Danio rerio: one gene and its partners. The main gene of each other region encodes a partner of the protein of the gene in region 3 in a complex. Links are inferred from orthologs where the notes say so. Each region holds a gene or a part of one and is shown on either strand. Other genes may lie near its edges.

Evidence for each region.
Region 1: yeats2 (region 3) and wdr5 share a complex: the UniProt entries of both Homo sapiens proteins name them as parts of the ADA2A-containing complex. The link is inferred for Danio rerio from reciprocal best matches to the Homo sapiens genes YEATS2 and WDR5.
Region 2: yeats2 (region 3) and tada2a share a complex: the UniProt entries of both Homo sapiens proteins name them as parts of the ADA2A-containing complex. The link is inferred for Danio rerio from reciprocal best matches to the Homo sapiens genes YEATS2 and TADA2A.
Region 4: yeats2 (region 3) and kat2a share a complex: the UniProt entries of both Homo sapiens proteins name them as parts of the ADA2A-containing complex. The link is inferred for Danio rerio from reciprocal best matches to the Homo sapiens genes YEATS2 and KAT2A.
Region 5: yeats2 (region 3) and dr1 share a complex: the UniProt entries of both Homo sapiens proteins name them as parts of the ADA2A-containing complex. The link is inferred for Danio rerio from reciprocal best matches to the Homo sapiens genes YEATS2 and DR1.

Annotation. Positions count from the first base shown.
Region 1 is NC_133196.1:19,684,643-19,688,162, forward strand, and holds part of wdr5 (WD repeat-containing protein 5), read left to right. Parts: intron 1-3,015; coding exon 3,016-3,089; intron 3,090-3,339; coding exon 3,340-3,429; intron 3,430-3,520.
Region 2 is NC_133190.1:18,226,701-18,230,220, reverse strand, and holds part of tada2a (transcriptional adapter 2-alpha), read right to left. Parts: coding exon 3,504-3,520; intron 968-3,503; coding exon 895-967; intron 231-894; coding exon 167-230; intron 1-166. UniProt on the Homo sapiens protein: Component of the ATAC complex, a complex with histone acetyltransferase activity on histones H3 and H4. Required for the function of some acidic activation domains, which activate transcription from a distant site. Binds double-stranded DNA.
Region 3 is NC_133177.1:47,776,068-47,779,587, forward strand, and holds part of yeats2 (YEATS domain-containing protein 2), read left to right. Parts: intron 1-69; coding exon 70-182; intron 183-2,151; coding exon 2,152-2,313; intron 2,314-3,520. UniProt on the Homo sapiens protein: Chromatin reader component of the ATAC complex, a complex with histone acetyltransferase activity on histones H3 and H4. YEATS2 specifically recognizes and binds histone H3 crotonylated at 'Lys-27' (H3K27cr).
Region 4 is NC_133178.1:16,348,527-16,352,046, reverse strand, and holds part of kat2a (histone acetyltransferase KAT2A), read right to left. Parts: intron 689-3,520; coding exon 574-688; intron 482-573; coding exon 445-481; intron 1-444. UniProt on the Homo sapiens protein: Protein lysine acyltransferase that can act as a acetyltransferase, glutaryltransferase, succinyltransferase or malonyltransferase, depending on the context.
Region 5 is NC_133181.1:26,454,411-26,458,374, forward strand, and holds the start of dr1 (protein Dr1), read right to left. Parts: upstream 2,806-3,964; 5' UTR 2,301-2,805; coding exon 2,081-2,300; intron 1-2,080. UniProt on the Homo sapiens protein: The association of the DR1/DRAP1 heterodimer with TBP results in a functional repression of both activated and basal transcription of class II genes.

The DNA of each region.
Region 1 (3,520 bases), on a different chromosome or scaffold from region 3:
AAGATGACGAGGTCACTCTCTACATTGAAACCGATGTCATAGAAAAATGTAATTGATGTTCTTGGCTTGGTGAAAGATGAACAAACAATCCTACCCAAAACATGCTAAATTTGCCAGATCAGTAGTACTTTGCATCCCGGCTTTGCATTCCAATTTCTAAGTGTCTTACAGCCTACGTTTGTTATGAATAAATTAGGTTAAAACGCATATAAAAGACACATTCATGAAAAAAGCCAAAAGAGCTTTGTGCATGTGCACGTGAATAATGTAGGGCTATAAACAAGTTTGAGCTTTTAAAAAGCTGTCAATCAAAATGTACCTCTTAGGCTCGGGTCGAATTCAGTCAGGCTCAGGCTCTATCGGGCCTAACTTTTATGGCCCGATTACAGCTCTATCACTCCTGTCAGCCAAGAACTAGAAAACTTAGGCAACAATTGGCACAAGCTCACCAAAATTTGATAATAGAAGATTAGAAAATCGTTGCCTGCTCTGACAAATCTCTATTTCTGCTGCAACATGCAGGCCCCGTTTACACTAATGCGTTTTAGTTTGAAAACGCAAAAGTTTTGCTACGGTTACGCCATCCCTCCACACTACGCCAGAGTTCTCGAGCGCCGAAAACGGAGCTTTTTGAAAAAGCTGGAAAGGCCGTTTTCATTCTAAAACGCTGCTGCTCCGTCTCAGTGTGGATGGGTAAAGACGGAGACATCTGAAAACGGAGGCGGGGCTGCAAACGTTCGCCTATCTGATTGGGGCTTTTCCTCAATATTAAGTAGCCCACGCACAGTTCAGTCTCGCATCCTCTTCTTGTAAGTTAAGACTTCGCAAGTTTGATCAAGGCTGCAGTCTCCCCCTTTTCAGTTTGATATGGAAAACATACCGAGGACACGGGTAAATCTTCAAAGGGAACAGTGTACTTTATAACTTTATTCACATCACCTTGGCTACGTTGTTTCACTTTCTCAACAATAAAATGTAATCATTATTTAAGGAACTGCCTATTTTCTTTTTAATATTAGCAACTTAACTGACAGCAGAAATGTTGAGGCGCCGTGCTGCATATATGGGCGTCATCTTCACTGTGTGGATATTTATAACAAAACGGAGCCTATAACAACTGCCTCCTTTCAATTTCAGTGAAAATACGAAACGCACCCTCTCTTTTGCTGAATATCAGTTTTAATAATTGATAATTATAAAAGTATAACATACAATAAGTTTATACATTGTAGGAAATAAAGGCAAGCGATCAGTCAATGTACCTGGATTAATCATTAACTTATCTTTGCGCTTAACCAAAACATGTTACCCGTGAACAAGTAACTTAATAGATTCCAATGACCAAAGTCAGGGAATTGGCCTATGTCGTTAGATAAAGACAACAACATGAATGAAATATCACGTTTAGCAAATATAGTGGGATTAGATCCAGCGGGAGATGCTTGATGAGCAGTCCGACAAGCAGAGCTCTCATCTGGGTAGAAATGCTGGAGCGCTTGCCCGAGAGTGTCTGTGTGATCACGTGATGTGCGTTTTCAACGTTTTGGTGTGGACGGAGAGCTGTTCAGAAACGCTGGGTAAAACGCGAGTGTGGACGCGGATCGTTTTCATTCTACAACGCCGTTTTAAAACTAAAACGCACTAGTGTAAACGGGGCCTCAGATGGTAGGGTCAGAATTTGGCGTAAACAACACAAAAGCATGGATCCATCCTGTCTTGTATCAATGGATCAGGCTGGTGGTGGTAGTGTATCGATTTGAGGGATTTTTTTCTTTGCACACTTTGGGTCCATTAGTATCCAATTGAGTATTGTGTCTGCCACATCCTACCTGAGTACTGTTACTGACCATGTCCATCCATTTATGACCACAGTGTACCCATCTTCTGGTGGCTACTTCCATCAGGATAACGCGCCATGTCATAAAGCCAAAAAATATCTAAAACCGATTTCTTGAACATGACAATGAGTTCACTGCACTTAAATGGCCTCCACAGTCACCAGAACTTAATCCAATGAAGCACTTTTGGGATGTGGTGGAACGGGAGATTCGCATCATGGATATGCAGCAAACAAATCTGCAGCAACTGCACGATGCCATCATGTCATTATGGACTGAAATCTCAGAGGGATATTTCCATTACCTTGTTGAATCTATGCCGTGAAGGATTAAGGCTGTTCTACAGGCAAAAGGGGGGTCCAACCCGGTACTAGTAAGGTGTACCTAATAAAGTGGCCAGTTAGTGTAAGTACACGCATACGTTTTTATTGATTACATATAATGCAATCTTTTTTTTTTTTTTTTTTCAACTGATTTTTTTTTAAATCACAGTATTGGGCTTCAAAACAGAAAATGAAAAGTGTCACATTTTTATACATCTGTTATTTAAGACTTTTAAGTCTAAAAAGTCAAATAAAACATTGTTTTCAAAGTCAAATTGTCCTTTCATCAGTCTGTGAGATTTCCAGTATACAATATTATTGTATACTGGGTTTAGTTAACTTAATGCTAGTTGCTTTTTATTTTTTTATTTATGTACATTTTACCTGCGTATTTTACTTGCTTCTATGTGAATTAATGTCTGTCGTTTTGCAATTGTTATTAAACATACTCATTGCAATATTTCAGTTCTAAACTATGAAGATTTGCACCACTCCCATTAATTCACTGCAGAAACTGAAAGTTTAAATGGATGGTGCCTTCATGCCTCTGTTGCTGCATTGTCGATGCATATTCGACCGTGAGAGCTGAATGCACTTATGAGTCATTCACCCTGATATCATCTCAGACTATAAGCACACAGCTTTTCAGAGAATACACAGAATGTTACAGCATTGCAATCTTTTTCAGTGGGATAATCAGACCAAGTCATTTTAAAATTTTATTTTTATTTTGATTGCAGCTTTAAACGTTTATTTAATTAATTATTACACTTGAACTACCCTCAAGGAAGTCCTAGTGTCTTGTGAACAACACAAAGTCATGATGTAATTTTTTTTTTCTCTCTCTCGTCCAGCTGCTGATAAGCTGATCAAAATATGGGGTGCATATGATGGCAAGTTTGAGAAGACGATATCTGGACACAAACTTGTGAGTTCCTTGTATGTTTTGTTGGTATTTCTGTCATCATTGTTTCACTTCTATAGTGTTATCTTCATTTGCTTTTAGTTGTTAGCCTTATTTTATTTTCAGTTGAACTTTGTCTGTACAGCACTTTGGATTCAGTTATAGTGTTGAAAGTGTTCTATAAATAAAGTTGAGTTCCCCAAAAGATCTGGCTTCTCTGTAATGTTTTACTGTACCAGATTGCTGTTGTGAACTGGATTTCTTTCTCCTGCAGGGCATCTCAGATGTAGCCTGGTCTTCAGACTCCAACCTCCTGGTCTCAGCTTCTGATGACAAGACTTTGAAGATCTGGGATGTGAGCTCTGTAAGTTAAGGCAAAACTGAACATTCGAAAGAAAAATGTAAAACCTAAACTGATGAAAGCAAGCAGAGTGAGCATACTGATGCTATTTGCA
Region 2 (3,520 bases), on a different chromosome or scaffold from region 3:
TTGGTATCTATCATATGAGTGTTACATATTTTTGTTCAGATATATAATTTGTTAATTGAGAAAGGGGCCCTTAGAAATAACGCTCTAATTTGAAATCTAATTTAATAGGGAAGGGTGGCCCTCTAGAGGTTGATGTTATGCAGTACAAGTATTTTTTTCTACTTACTTTTTTCTCCTCTGTCTTTCCTTTAGTCTGGAGTGATAAATATCCACTACAGCAACCTTCAGTGCTGCAATAACACAATAATACCACAAACATGGTAAAAAGTAGTTACCAAGAATTTAGCATTCAGTTTGTTTTCACAAATATAATCTAATATATATATATATATATATATATATATATATATATATATATATATATATATATATATATATATATATATATATATATATATATATATATATATATATTTTAAAATAATGTATAATAGTATATATGAAAAACATTATAAATAATAAAATGTTAATTTTAAATTAAATTAAATATGATGATTTGCTAAGTATTTGTATCTAGCTAAAGTATGAAAATTTAACTTATAATAATACTATAGCTGAAATACAATTTAATTAAACTTAAGTGGTTCAACTTAAAAATAATAAACCATAATAAAAAATAATAAAATAATCTAAAATTCAATTAAAATCAAACATTACAATAAAAATTTGTATAATAGCATCAAAATGGATATAGAAAACTAAATTCAGGATGTTTTATAATAGAAATAAAAGTAAAAAAAGACCATAATGATGTTTGATCTCATTAAGCCAGCAATAACAACTATGATTTTTCAATGGCAAACAGGTTATGATAATGCTACATTGTAAAAATAACATTTGATTTCAGTAAAATGAGAGAACAAATGTACTCATTTTCTCTACTGTTGCACTTACCATGAAGGATATCAGAATCATCATCGACAAAGTCAATATCTTTTAAATCCCATTCAGCGTAATTATCAAACTCCTAATTTCAGAGACAAAAAGAGAAAGAGAGGTTGCTTTAAAAAATGTATGAATTACATAAGTTCTAAACAGACAGTCATTAGACGGCATATTGAATTTATGGAAACAAGCCTGTATCAGGCTGTATAAATATCAAAACATTCATACAAAGGTTTAAGGGTGTTTTTGCTATTGTTTCTTTTTTTTTAAAGAAGACATTTCATGTATTGATTTTAAACAACCGTTAAACAACAATATCACATGGCTCTGGAATACTTTATTCTAAATAGTCAAGATTCTGATTAATTAGTATTAAAAGCTGAACTAAAATCAATAAAATTCTGGCAAAGCACCAGGGTGCTGAATGTGCTTGCTGATCGTATGGAGCAAGGCTAAAATAGCATCTGCAGGGTCATCTTTGCATTGACTTAACACATAGATCACTCGCACTTGACGATTCATCCGTGTCGGTGTGAACGTACCTAAGACTTTTTAACACCACTATAGATACAATTTTCGACTAAAACAAGGCTAAATGCTAAGGACTATTTCCAATGGCCCATTTGGGCAAGCACAAAAAGAGTTTTATATAATAAATTCAAATAAGTTATGTTAGCCACATATTTTAAATGTGTCAAAACAAAGCAAAACCTAGTTGTGTACTTACACACTTATTTTGTTGTTGTTGTTGTTAAAGAAGATTGACAAGCTGTATAAACTTTAAAAAAAACTAAAAGTATAACAGTCGGTCCAGGTCAGTGTCCCCAACATATATGGTCTATAAATACATAGAGAACTTTTTAACCAATGTAATTGTAGGGAAGACAACTAATCCATATTGGTAAACAGAGTTATAAATAGAGTAAAGTTTTATTGAGATGGACTGTGTCGGTGTCGGCCTGTGGTGCTTTTCTCAAACAACGACGTAACTCCGGGATTAACTATCATAGTACGATGCATCGTTTGGAAAAAAGAAAGATGTAGTGATGAGTGTTTCCCCAAAACCGTAGTTTCTCTGTCGATCCATAATTTGAACCATGTTAGATATCATGTAAACCGCCTATAATGGTACTCTAAATCAGGTGGTAACAGCTTATTTAGAGAGGAACCCCATAATTTCTTTGTGCAAATTATATTGTTTCACAGGGACACACATTTAAAAAAAATCCAATTTTAGTTTTAGTAAAAACATGCAATTGCTTTCCAGATTAATTGTAATATACTGTATGTAAACGGCATATATAGGGCCTGTTTTCTTTACAAATATTATTGAGAACATTACATATTCTATTCTAAAACATAAAATCACTTACAAAAGCAACCACGTATTCTAGTATCATATATTAATCATACAACTAAATAAATAGACAGTCTATTTATTAAGAAATAAAATGTTATATTTATTATTTATTAGGAAATGAAAAAAATCTTACTTTAATAATAATATCAATAATATCACTGATTATTATTATTAAGTAGAATATTGTTTATTTATTTATTTTTTTGAAAAGTCTACTTTTACAATTTGACACATGCAAACCACTGCACAAATGTTCTAACTAACAGGCCCACGTCATATACAGTACAGATACTTAATAAATACATACTAGATATTAAAACCATTAGCTTTTAAATAATAGGTCACCTGTAGCTTTCATCATGAGCCACGGCTGTGTTCAAAATGACATGAATGCTTTTAAAGTGCACTAAAGCGGCAACGCAAGACTGCTAAAACTGATCTGTAAAAATACTTTGACAGCAAATTACACTTAAGAGTGATGACTTAATTTTTTAAAAATCATTTCAAGTTTAAATGTTAGAATGTATAGGGCATATAACTGGGCATATAACTACAATAACTGGGAATAGAACACAGCCAGGAACTATGTTTCTAACTACAGCTCCAAAGGTGTAGTTGCAAACATTGAAGTTTGCGATGCAGTTTGTGAATGTTCTTTGGAAAGACGGATTTGAAAAATGCTAAATAAATGAACTATGGTTGTAACGACGGAACTTGCGACCTTAGTTGGCTTTCGAAAACGTACCCCTGATTTGGACATATGAAAATTAAGACCTGTAAAAAAAAACTATTTAAGACCTACAAGACAACATTTTAGCAAATTTAATCATTTTTAAAGCCTAAAATTTAGTTGTTGAAATGCAAGACATTTTAAGACTTAAGAACCTGCAGACACCCTGGTTATTGTTTGCTCCATTCAGCCATTTTCATTTCTTGTTTTGCATTTAATTAAACACTTAATAAACTTTTACGGCTGAATACAACATACAAGCTTTGAGTCACATTTTTACGTTTAGTGACAAGTACCTGTGTAATAAGTGGCATAAAGTACATCCAGTCGGTTGTTTTTTTTTCTCCACAGAACAACACTCCACAGATTTGCTTCGCTGATGCGATAAGAACCACTTGGATGTACTTTATCTTACTTACACTCCACTGAAGGCATGCATTTCTATTCCCTACAAATTTGTTTTCATCCATGTCAATATTGAAATAAGGTGTAACCCTGACTAAAGTCTAGTAGCTGCAGATCTCTTACCTCCATGAAGTCTGCTC
Region 3 (3,520 bases):
TTTACAGCTGAAATGCTCAATGCATACTTGATTTGATAGTGACATTTATTATTATTTTCTCATTTATAGGACACATTTGGTGTGCCATCATCTATAGAGCAGCATGTTACTTATCACACTACAGGAGATGATGCTTCTCGACTCTACATGAAGAAAACCATTGTTGTCGGAAACGTATCCAAGTATGAGATCTTTACCTATTATATAGTATAGAGTATTTTATTGCTAATTCTATTTTTACTATTACTATAAAACTGACAACAATTTCATCAATTGTTTGTGGTGGAAAAGAGTTGCAGTTAAAAGGTTTTTAATGTTTTTGGTCTTCCTTTCTGAATAATACTGGTGTGGCCTTGAGTAAAGCTTTACTTGAGGAAGCTTTATACTTGGTTCTGCAATCCTTAAAGGGATGGTTTAGCCAAAAATGAACATTAGATCATTAAGATATTTTCATGGTACCCTAGACACTATGACTTTGGAATATGAAAAAGAGAGGTCTGGATTGACTTGATCACATATGCCATGCTCTTTAATTGTAGTCTATAAAAATGTATGGCATCAGACGACTTAAATTCAAAAAGAATTTCTTACTTTGGGCCTAGCACACCTGAAGTGGAAAAGTGTGATTGAGAACATTAAGAAAGAAGTGTTAAGGTGACTTATTGGTTAGTAAATAATAACAGAATATTCATTTTTGAATTAATCTTAAACCATTATATTTCCAACCATTTGTTATTTCCACAGGCTTTTATGAGGAGAAATATTTATTTCTCCGAGCTTGTATTCATTTTTAAATGTATCACTTTCTCTGGAAAGTCTCATTATTATTTCTCTGAAACCCAATAAACCTTCACATGGTGAAAAGCAAAGCTTTAGTTTCCCCTAGGCAGCAATCTAACCTCATTTATTCTGCATTATCACACAGTCCACGTCTACTTTACCTCATAAAATTCACTCAAGGCATGTGAGTGAGACACAAGTGTGTGTGTGTGTCTTTGTATGAGCAATGCTATAAGCTGACTTTTTTCCATGCAGAGCTACTAAAGATCTTTATGACACTGTTTACTCCTGGGCCATTGTGCTGAAAAAAAACATGAACTCAAGCTGTTTGTCTGAATAAAGCGTTTCTAAACAATTCCACATTGTACCATTATGTGTGAAGCAGATGATTTCCTTTCCCTAGAAACCTAAAATGAAGAGCACAAATCACATTACTGTGGCAGGTAGCTGAAAATATACGACACGCACTGAGTTGAAAAGAAATGTGCAAATAAGCTTAACTTTTATCTGTGCTGAAGGCAAAAATGCTACCATGCAGTTGCCTTTTGAATTTTGCAGTTTCAGTATTTAAATATGTTACTGAAGAGTTGGCTTTTATGACAGTTAATGGGTAGTTCATGCAATTTGTTTTCTTTCTGTTTCTAAAAAACAGATGCTGCGTCCCAATTCGCATACTATCCTTCCTAAATAGTATTTGAAAATACAATTAGTATGTCCCAAATCGTAGTATGTTGAAAAAAGTATGCCAAAGGTTCCCGGATGGTTTACTATTTCCGGTAAAAATTTTAAGTGCAGAACCGTCCATACTCTAATTGCTGATATTGTCCACAGTATTGGTGCATTGGACATGATTTCGATGAGAACTACTAACATGGATGAAAAGTGTAAATAAACTACATACATGGTGGACTTGCGAGACCAACCGTCAAGTAAAAAGCTTTGTTAAAGTTGTTTGAATGACTGTTAATTAATATCTAGCCCACTGGAAAATATTTAAATGGTGTTTTCTGTGTTATATTTCATCTGCAACAACAATACTGCGCTTATATAAAGATATGTTTGGAGATTACCATCTGAATGCATAATTATCCAAAGACCGGAGGAGATTTCTCTGCATGAAAGACCTAACCTGCCGCTGCTTCTCCAATAAGAGATAGGATGACATGGATGTTTGACAGGGCTCATAATTAAGCAACATAACGATCTGTTAACGAAAAAGTAGTATGTCCCAAAGCACACTCTTCTGTCACACACTCAAAAGTATATATTTTTCCCTCTCAAAAAAGTACATACTTTCGGGTGTAGTATAAGTATGCGAATTAGGACGCAGCAAGAGACCCGTTTTTGAGACTTTTTTTTTCTCTGTTCCAGGTATATTGCCCCTGATAAACGTGAGGAGAATGATCAGTCCACTCATAAGTGGATGGTGTACGTTCGAGGTTCTCGTAAGGAGCCCAGTATTGATCACTTTGTGAAGAAGGTCTGGTTTTTCCTGCACCCCAGCTACAAGCCCAATGACCTCGTGGAAGTCAGGTGTGTGTTTACATTCCACCCGATTCATCCATCTGCTTTGATTTCATCTCACTGTTCAGGCTTTTTTCAACATGACCATCTTTGGATAATTTGTAGTAATAGTTTGAACTTCATTAATTCAAATTGCACCTAACAACACTGAAGCTTTGTTTATATGTGATATTAACATATTATGGGGTCAGCTAAATTACATCACTGAATCATTGAATTTTTTTTAACCACATGAGCATTTTTATTATGAAAGCAACTCGATAAAATGTTTTACTACCTCTGGAATTTCAACAACCTTTCTAGACCAGGGCCTACCAACACTGGTCCTGGAGAGCTAGGCTGTTTCTCAATTCCAAGAACGCAGAGATAACGTACTAGCGTACTTGTGGAGTTCTTGTGGAGTTACCTCGTAAAAATGAACTTAGAGAACAGAGAATGCGTCCTGTGAGAAATGAGATGCTGCTTTCTTCCTGATGGTCACATGATCTTCACGCGTTTTTAATAGAACATTATTTAAAAATCTCAGCATTCATACAACGCTTTATTGTTTTTCCTTCTTTCACTATATGTACTATGCATAAAGACATTATAAATGTATGTTGCACAATACAAATAAAACAAATTTTAATATGAATTTCAGCAAATAAACACCCTTAATCTGTTCATGCCTTTATAAAGATTTTCATGGAAATGTTTACTTTCACCGTCTCATTTAGGGTAACTCCTGAGATAAATTAGTCACATCTCCGAACTTTAATATTAAATCTATATCAGATGCTGCACTCCCCACCTTCTTTATTCAGTCGAAATGCCTTCTGGGACTTCTCAAGCGAGTTTTGTGCTCAAGTCTGCATCGAGGTGTCCTCTATCAAGAACACATCCAGGAACTTTCACATGTCCTCTGCTCTTGCAGTCTTGAGTTTTGGAACTGAACTTTGGCTGTTGATGATGCTGTTACCCGAGAACACGAGGGCGCAAGATCGCTGAAGAATGCATATTGAGAAAGGGCAATACTTTCCTACAAATTTCAGTTGCAACTCTGACCAAACACACCCGTCTGTAATTATCAAGTGCTGCTTCAGGTTCTGTTTAAAGGTGCAGTAGGTGATCTGCCAAAATGCTAACCACTTAGCATATTATCTTTGGACAGCAGGGAGGGACTGGGATTCAAAGCCACACCCCCCGAAATCGCGAGCGTGCGCACCGCGTCACAACA
Region 4 (3,520 bases), on a different chromosome or scaffold from region 3:
ATCTCTGGCTGATATATTCAATTGAGTCAAGTGTTGCCGAAACGCGTAGGTGCTGTTTTTAAGGAATAGCCATGTTAATAAGGGCTTTTTCATTTTTTCGCTTGCTTTTCAGTGCCTTGGACTTATTATTTTGTTGTTTATCTTTAATAATTCCTTATCCAAAGAGCACAGACACATTAACTACCCCTGAAGCACTTCTTTTGATTTTGGATTTATAAATACATCTGTGACATTATAAATGACTTTACTGCCACTTTTGATTTATTTACTGAATTCTTTGTTAAATAAAAGTATTTATTTATTTTACAAACACCCTTTTAAAGTGATAGAGAGTACATGGCACCACTGTGAAATCATCAGTACGCCGCAGATACTCCATGATCTAATAGAGGCACACAGATGGTCTAAGATTTCAGAATAAATAAGCATAAATTCTCATCTGACCTTTTCTCCTTGGCACTAGGTTTCCAACCAGTCTCTCCTAAAAAATAAATAAATATAAAAACAGAAAGAAGAAAGCACGTTTGAATGAAAGGATTTTGGACATTATAGTCATATTTTTTAGACACTTACTGATGCCTGGTATACTCTCCACAGGAATCTGACGCACACCCTCTTTAAAGCAGGTGAGACCAGGATACACTTTCCTGATCTGATTCTGTTTCCTCTCGATCAGTTTCTTAATGATCTGCAGCAGACAACAATAAACCAATAGCACTAATTTAATTTAATAAAAACTTTCTTTTATGCTCTTCATGGCCATTTAGAAAAATTCACAGCTAAAATCCCACTTGAGAATAACATATACCCCAATATTCAATATGACAGTTTTGTATGCCACAATACTTGATATAATATTGAGTCATTCGTTTCAACCACCACAGTTCAGTATGCGTTAGAGACTGCGGTATTGCATCCAAATTTAAATATTTAATTTAGCATTTTCCCCAATTCCTTTAATTACTCTGAACTGGCTCTGTCTAACCTCCCTCTCTATTCTATTCTGCCGTCCTAAAGGGGAGGGGGCTCGGGTGTCGCAGATGAAAGTAAAAAAAAGGGGGGGGGGGGAGATTGGGGGGGGGGGGTCTTCGTGGATAATAATTAGGGAAATGAGGATATTTTGCCGCCCTAGTTTCACGTTATTTCGGATGTAAAATTTGTGTGAATTTTTGGCGTACGCAATGTTTTAGTATGAATTCAACACAAGTCTTCGTACATGAGGCCCCTGGTCTTTATAGCAAATAAACAAATGTAAATATTATCTTGCTTGCTTTTTAATCATTATTGAGCGAGTTCTTGAACGCCTATGATTGATCGTGCATTCAACAGAAAAGGCTGCAATTGGCTCTAACAGTTCAGCAAACAGTGACACGGACACTGATGTTAAATGACCGCAGTGATCAGCCGATTCATTATAGATGGCAACGCGGTGGAGAAAACTCACTATGCAGACACGCTTGTGTCTGGATCCACAAGTAATGTTATTGTTGTAACAGCTGAGAGAGGAGATAAAACGTTACCTCACGACCACATCAGCAGGTCACCTCCCACGCCAAAGTAAGCTACCGCCATATAACACATGAAATAAATGACATCAGTACATTACTGAACCGATACCGAATTGTTCGTGTCTGCACTGCGGTGCACCAAAGAAACGATTAATTTTGACACTCCTAATATACATACAGTTGAAGTGAGAATTATTAACCGCCCTGAATTATTAGCTCCCCCCGGTTTATTTTTTCCCCAATTTCTGTTTAACGCAGAGAAGATCTTTTTTAACACATTTCTAAACATAATAGTTTTAATAACTCATTTCTAATAACTGATTTATTTTGTCTTTGCCATGATGACAGAAAATAAAATTTGACTAGATATTTTTAAAAGACACTTCTATACAACTTAAGGTGACATTTAAAGGCTTAACTAGGTTAATTAGGTTAGGCAGGTTAGGGTAATTAGGCAAGTTATTGTATAGTGATGGTTTGTTCTGCAGACTATCAGAAAAAAACTAGCTTAAAGTGGTTTAAAATTTTGACCCTAAAATGGTTTATAAAAAAATAAACACTGCTTTTATTCTAGCCAAAATAAAACAAATAAGAATTTCTTCAGAAAATATTATCAGACAACTATGAAAATTTCCTAGCTCTGATAACAATCATTTGGAAAATATTTAAAAAAGAAAAGAAAAAAAATCAAAAAGGGGGGGGGGGCTAATAATTCTGACTGATAGCATAATTGATAGCATAATTGTAGTTTGTGTTACTGAGTTATTAAATCATTTTTTAAAATTATTTTACAGTTAGTTTATGATCTAATATGCAAATATTCATAGGACTTTATAATACAGTTTATAAAGTGATAAAGTGATTTAGTTCTGAATGTTGATAAAACTAAGGAGTTGGTGATCGACTTCAGGAAGAAACGCCCCATTTATTCCCCTGTATATATTAATAACACTGCAGTGGAGACTGTACAGCAGATAAAATTTCTGGGGGTCCATGTTACTGAGAACCTGACTTGGTCTCTCCATACCACTTGTCTTGCGAAGAAAGCGCACCAGCGACTGCTTTTTCTGAGAAGGTTGAAAAGAGCACACCTCAGCCAATCAATTCTCACAACTTTTTACAGAGGAGCTGTTGAGAGTGTTCTTACTAATGGCATCTCCCTTTGGTATGAGAATAGCAGTGTGTCTGATAAGAACACCATTAAGAGGATCATAAAGTCAGCTGAAAGGTCTGTTGGAGTCAAAATGACATCTATCGAGGAACTTTACCAACGCCGTTGTCTGTCTAGGGCAAATAACATTTTAGGGGATCCAACCCACCCTGGTCATAGCCTGCTCTCACTCATGCCATCAGGCAGGCGTTACAGAAGTCTGAGGAGCAAATCAGTGCGGTTTCAAGATAGTTTTTATCCTGTCATTATAAGACTTTTAAATAATACCATTTCTTAAGTATTGTTAATAGCTAGTGTTAAAAATAAATAAATTTGTTAAACTAGCATAAATTGTTAATATTACAACAAATGGTGAAATAGGTATTTAAGTATTAAGTTATTCTCTTCAGAGATTTTTTAAAAATGGGTTATATCTTATCTATATTTTTTATATTTCTATGGAATTATAAAAGCTTATTTATCATGTTAGGATTTTATAGTGTTTTTATATTGATGTTTTTTTATGTTCTTGATGGGTCTGTTGCAACGTAATTTCGTTCTGCATTACAATTCTATTGTGATGATTTGAATGACATAAATAAAGGAAACTGAAACTGGATATTTCCTGACATTTAATAGATATATTACATGAGGGATTGCATATTTTACCAAACAAATGGATTTAATTGGATTACAATTATAAACCTTGAATTAAAGTTTAAAAGTCATTAATTTATTTATCATGTTTTTAGTTACTTTACTCCCAAAATCATAAATCCACAGAAACAACAAAAAATGTCTGCAGATTCTGTCTGGCCCAGGCTATTAGTAACACATTTAATTACTGTATTACAACAACAAC
Region 5 (3,964 bases), on a different chromosome or scaffold from region 3:
GTCGTTACAACGTGTAGTTACAATTTTTGAGAGGTGCACGTCAGTGACGGCGACGGCCACGGCGAAGGGCTATGCGTCAGCGACGTAGCCTACGCCGGTGTTTGACTCAGAAGTAAAAATCAACACTTCCCGCCCGTCACAGCGTCTAACAAAGGGGCGGGGTGCGTGGTGACGTCACCAGCATCCCCGCCCCTTTGTTTACACGGCAGGCGGGGAATGCCAGTGACCGCTGTGTACGGATAGAATCAGCGGTCGGCGCGGGCCACAAAATATTGCACTGAGGGCCGCAAATGGCACGCGGGCCGCGAGTTTGAGACCCCTGTTTAAGGTGAATTGTTTTCTCACCACAAACCTAGGGCTTGGCGATAAAACCATATTTATTGTAATAATTTTTCCCTCTGTAAAACAACACGTTATAAATGTTTAACATAATAGTGGAATACATTAGCATATCATAACTGCATTGTTCCTTTGCACAACATAGATTGTTTATCCATTAGCACAAACAGCTGCTCGAGTTTGTTTGTATGTTCACATGCTAAAGGGTCTTGCTCATTAGGTTGGATGTTTGTCATCTTTGACAATAAAATTTAGTTTTACAATTTACTATTCTGGTTTTTGGAACTTTCTCCCAGAGGCTATAATCTGCACTTTAACTAAAGAAATAGACATTTTATTTTGATAATTATTGATACTGACTCTGATGTAAACAATTTTAGCATATTAACATGGCCATACTGCCCAGTCCTACATAAACCACCGCATCATTTATTTTCAAGCGTCTCAAGACCACTTGCAGACCAATTGAACAAGGAATAATTTACAATAGACCATTGAATTTAGGCATAGAATGATAACCATTTTCAAGGTATACCGCGGTATGAAAAAGTCAAGGTTTTAAAACCATCAAATTTTTTTGCAATACTGTTGCTAAGGTGATGTGTAAGATTGTTTATTTACATTTTTCTTGCTTTTTTTTGGACAACAGTTTGTCCAGCATAAAAGATATCCAAAGATGCTGTTTTTAACTGTAAAAAAAAAATGTGTTTTTGAAATAAGTGAAGACAGCAGAAGTCAATGATTCATTTGAATTATTTAGTCTGAAGTTTACTGTTCCAGAATATTTTAAATGTTTCATAACATAAAATATATTGTGTTCAAAAGGGATTTTTTTGTTTTGTTTTACCCCGACATTTAAAAAGAATATATTATTTTAGAGCAGTAATCACAATACCATGAAACCGTGCAATTTTTATCAAAGGTTATCATATAGTCAGAATCTTACACCAGCCCATGCGTATTTAATTATTCAAAAATAATGCACAACCAAGGTGGTGATGCGGCCACAATGCAAAGCAGATGTGCATTATTTTCTAATTTAATGAATAAACCAGAGTAAATTATTCCACTTGTACTATGGTTTCCAGACTGAAAGACGTAATTTAAGACATTTGAGAGGTTTTTTCCATTAAACAGCTCTTGTGTGTTAAACTACTAAAGTCTTGTGCATACCAACTCATTATTTGATTTGTGACACTTGCAGCTTGTGAAACCATTCAGCATAATGATATTGAACTATAATGCTGTCTGGAACTGCTTTAGCCGTTTAAATAATTGAAAACTGAAAATAATTGCACACCTTAGAATGTTCATCAGACAATCAGAATCAAAAGTAGTATATAGAGGTAAAGTTGGTTTTATATTTGGATATATTTAGACATTCTCCTTAATAATAACATTTCAGAAAAGTATTCTTTGCTAATTCTAAATAGGGAAATCATATTAGCAGCAAATGACTATTAAAGTACAACACTGTTCACACAGATAGTGTAAATGTTGTTTAGAAGTCATATTTCCATGCTAATTCCGATTGAATATTCAAGGCAGGATGGTAAACAATATAGGGACTGCTAAATGAACGAATGTGCGAATATAAAACTAACTTTACCTCTACAAGTAACGTTACTATAACTCTGAATAAACGATTCGCCTTATTACAAAAGCTTTGAATGAATTAAGTGCAGAAACGAACAATTTGTTGTTGGAATCTCACAGCATTGAACAGAAGTGACATACTGACCGTTTATAACATGTTCCGGGGATATAGTTTTCTTTTCTGATTTATTGCAGATCTCGTTGGCCTCTGATGAGACGAGGTGAATGAACTCTGTGCAGCAGTTTACCACCAGCTCTCTGGCATCGTTCGCTACCCGCACATTGGGAAGCGTTTCTTTGATCATTTTATTGATCGCCGCCCTCGGGATGGTCAGATCATCGTCGTTCCCCGAAGAAGATGCCATGAGGGATGAGCAGCCGAGACGCTTCTGTGTTTGAAGGAGTCAAACCAGGAGAGGAGGCTCAACGGCTTTGTTGATGATAAAACACCGACAGCAGCGGCGGCTTTGTGTGGAGACTCAGATGGTGCGGTCGGTTTTCTCGGAGCAGATCACGAAAGGCTGGGAATACACACACGTGAACACATTTGAAAATCCGAAGACGTCGGAAAGACTGTGAGTGTTTGGCACAAGGAAGGGAGGAGGATGAGAGTCGGTACCTTTCGGTTTGATCAGTTTACGCTGACTCTCCACATCCACACATCAGTGCTGCTGCTTTTGCTGTGCACGTTTATAATCATGATTCAACTCCAAACATTCATTCTCGAGCCGCCTGGGTAACTGAACAGATCCCGCGCTTATTAGACTAAAGCACGGGGAGGAATGTTTTAAGCACCCGAATCTATTAATTCATTACTTCACCCGCTCGGTTAGCGATCAACGAAACGAACCCCACAATGCAACACTCCCGGATATCCGGTAATTCTTCTGCTTGTTATTGTTTCGTGGTGTTGCTCGGCATTGCCGCCTACTGTACAAAAATGATGTTACAATTTATGCGCATGTTTTCTGCTAAAAAAACAAACTGGCAAAAACTTTTTTTATTGTTTCAAGCTGAACATACAAATAAAATGGAACATATTTACAATATTCCATACTGTCATCTCAAGGTTGAGTAATAAAATAGGCAAACACAATATACATCGAAAGAATAAAACGACCAGTTTTTGTTAAATGAATTGCAATAAAATAATAAAGGAGCTTAGAAAATTAAATTAGCTTATAAAAATCCCAAAAATAGATGAGGTTATGGGCTTTTTTATCATTCAACAATTTTACAGATTCGCACAAAAGTTTTACCTCATTCACTGATTAAAGGAGTAGATTTGAACCATCTGCATTTGTGAATAAAGATTTTTCCCAAGCATAATAGAACAATGACAGCAAAATGAAAATTCTTTGTTTTCAAAGATACCAAACTTAACTGTTTTTGAGGGGAGGGAAATATACAGTCCTGGGGCCTCATGTATCAACGCTGCGTATGCACAAAAACTTTGCATACGCCAGGTTTCACGCTCAGAATCGCTCACGTTTGGATTTACTAACGATGAACTGAACGTGGGAATGTGCGCGGCTCCACGCCAGCTTTATGGCTGGCGTACGCACATTTTTTGTGCGTGTCTGTTTTATTTCCATTGGCGACTCGACAGTTGTGTTAAATTGCACTCTACAAAGTGTCTTTGAGCCTTGCAATGGCAGCTGTAGGAGACGGGTTCATCTAGCAGGTATATAAGATTTCCATAACATACAGTTGACCAGCCAAACATTAAAGAGCAATTTGCAGCGGTCGCCTGTTTTCCCATTGTAGTGGGGGCGATCTACTTCACGCACATTGCTATAAAGGCACCAACTGAAGATGAATTTGCACGCATGAATCAGAAACATTTCCATTCAATAAATGTGCAAATAAAATATGATGCACATACTTATTAATGATTCCTACTTGTCTTTCTCGTGATAAATAGTAGGCAAAATCTGATATGCTGGAAAAAAAAGAAGAATGAGTTCATCAGACGCTGGATTCGAACCGAGTTCATGCTCGAACGTGTCAAAACATGCTACCTTGCGTT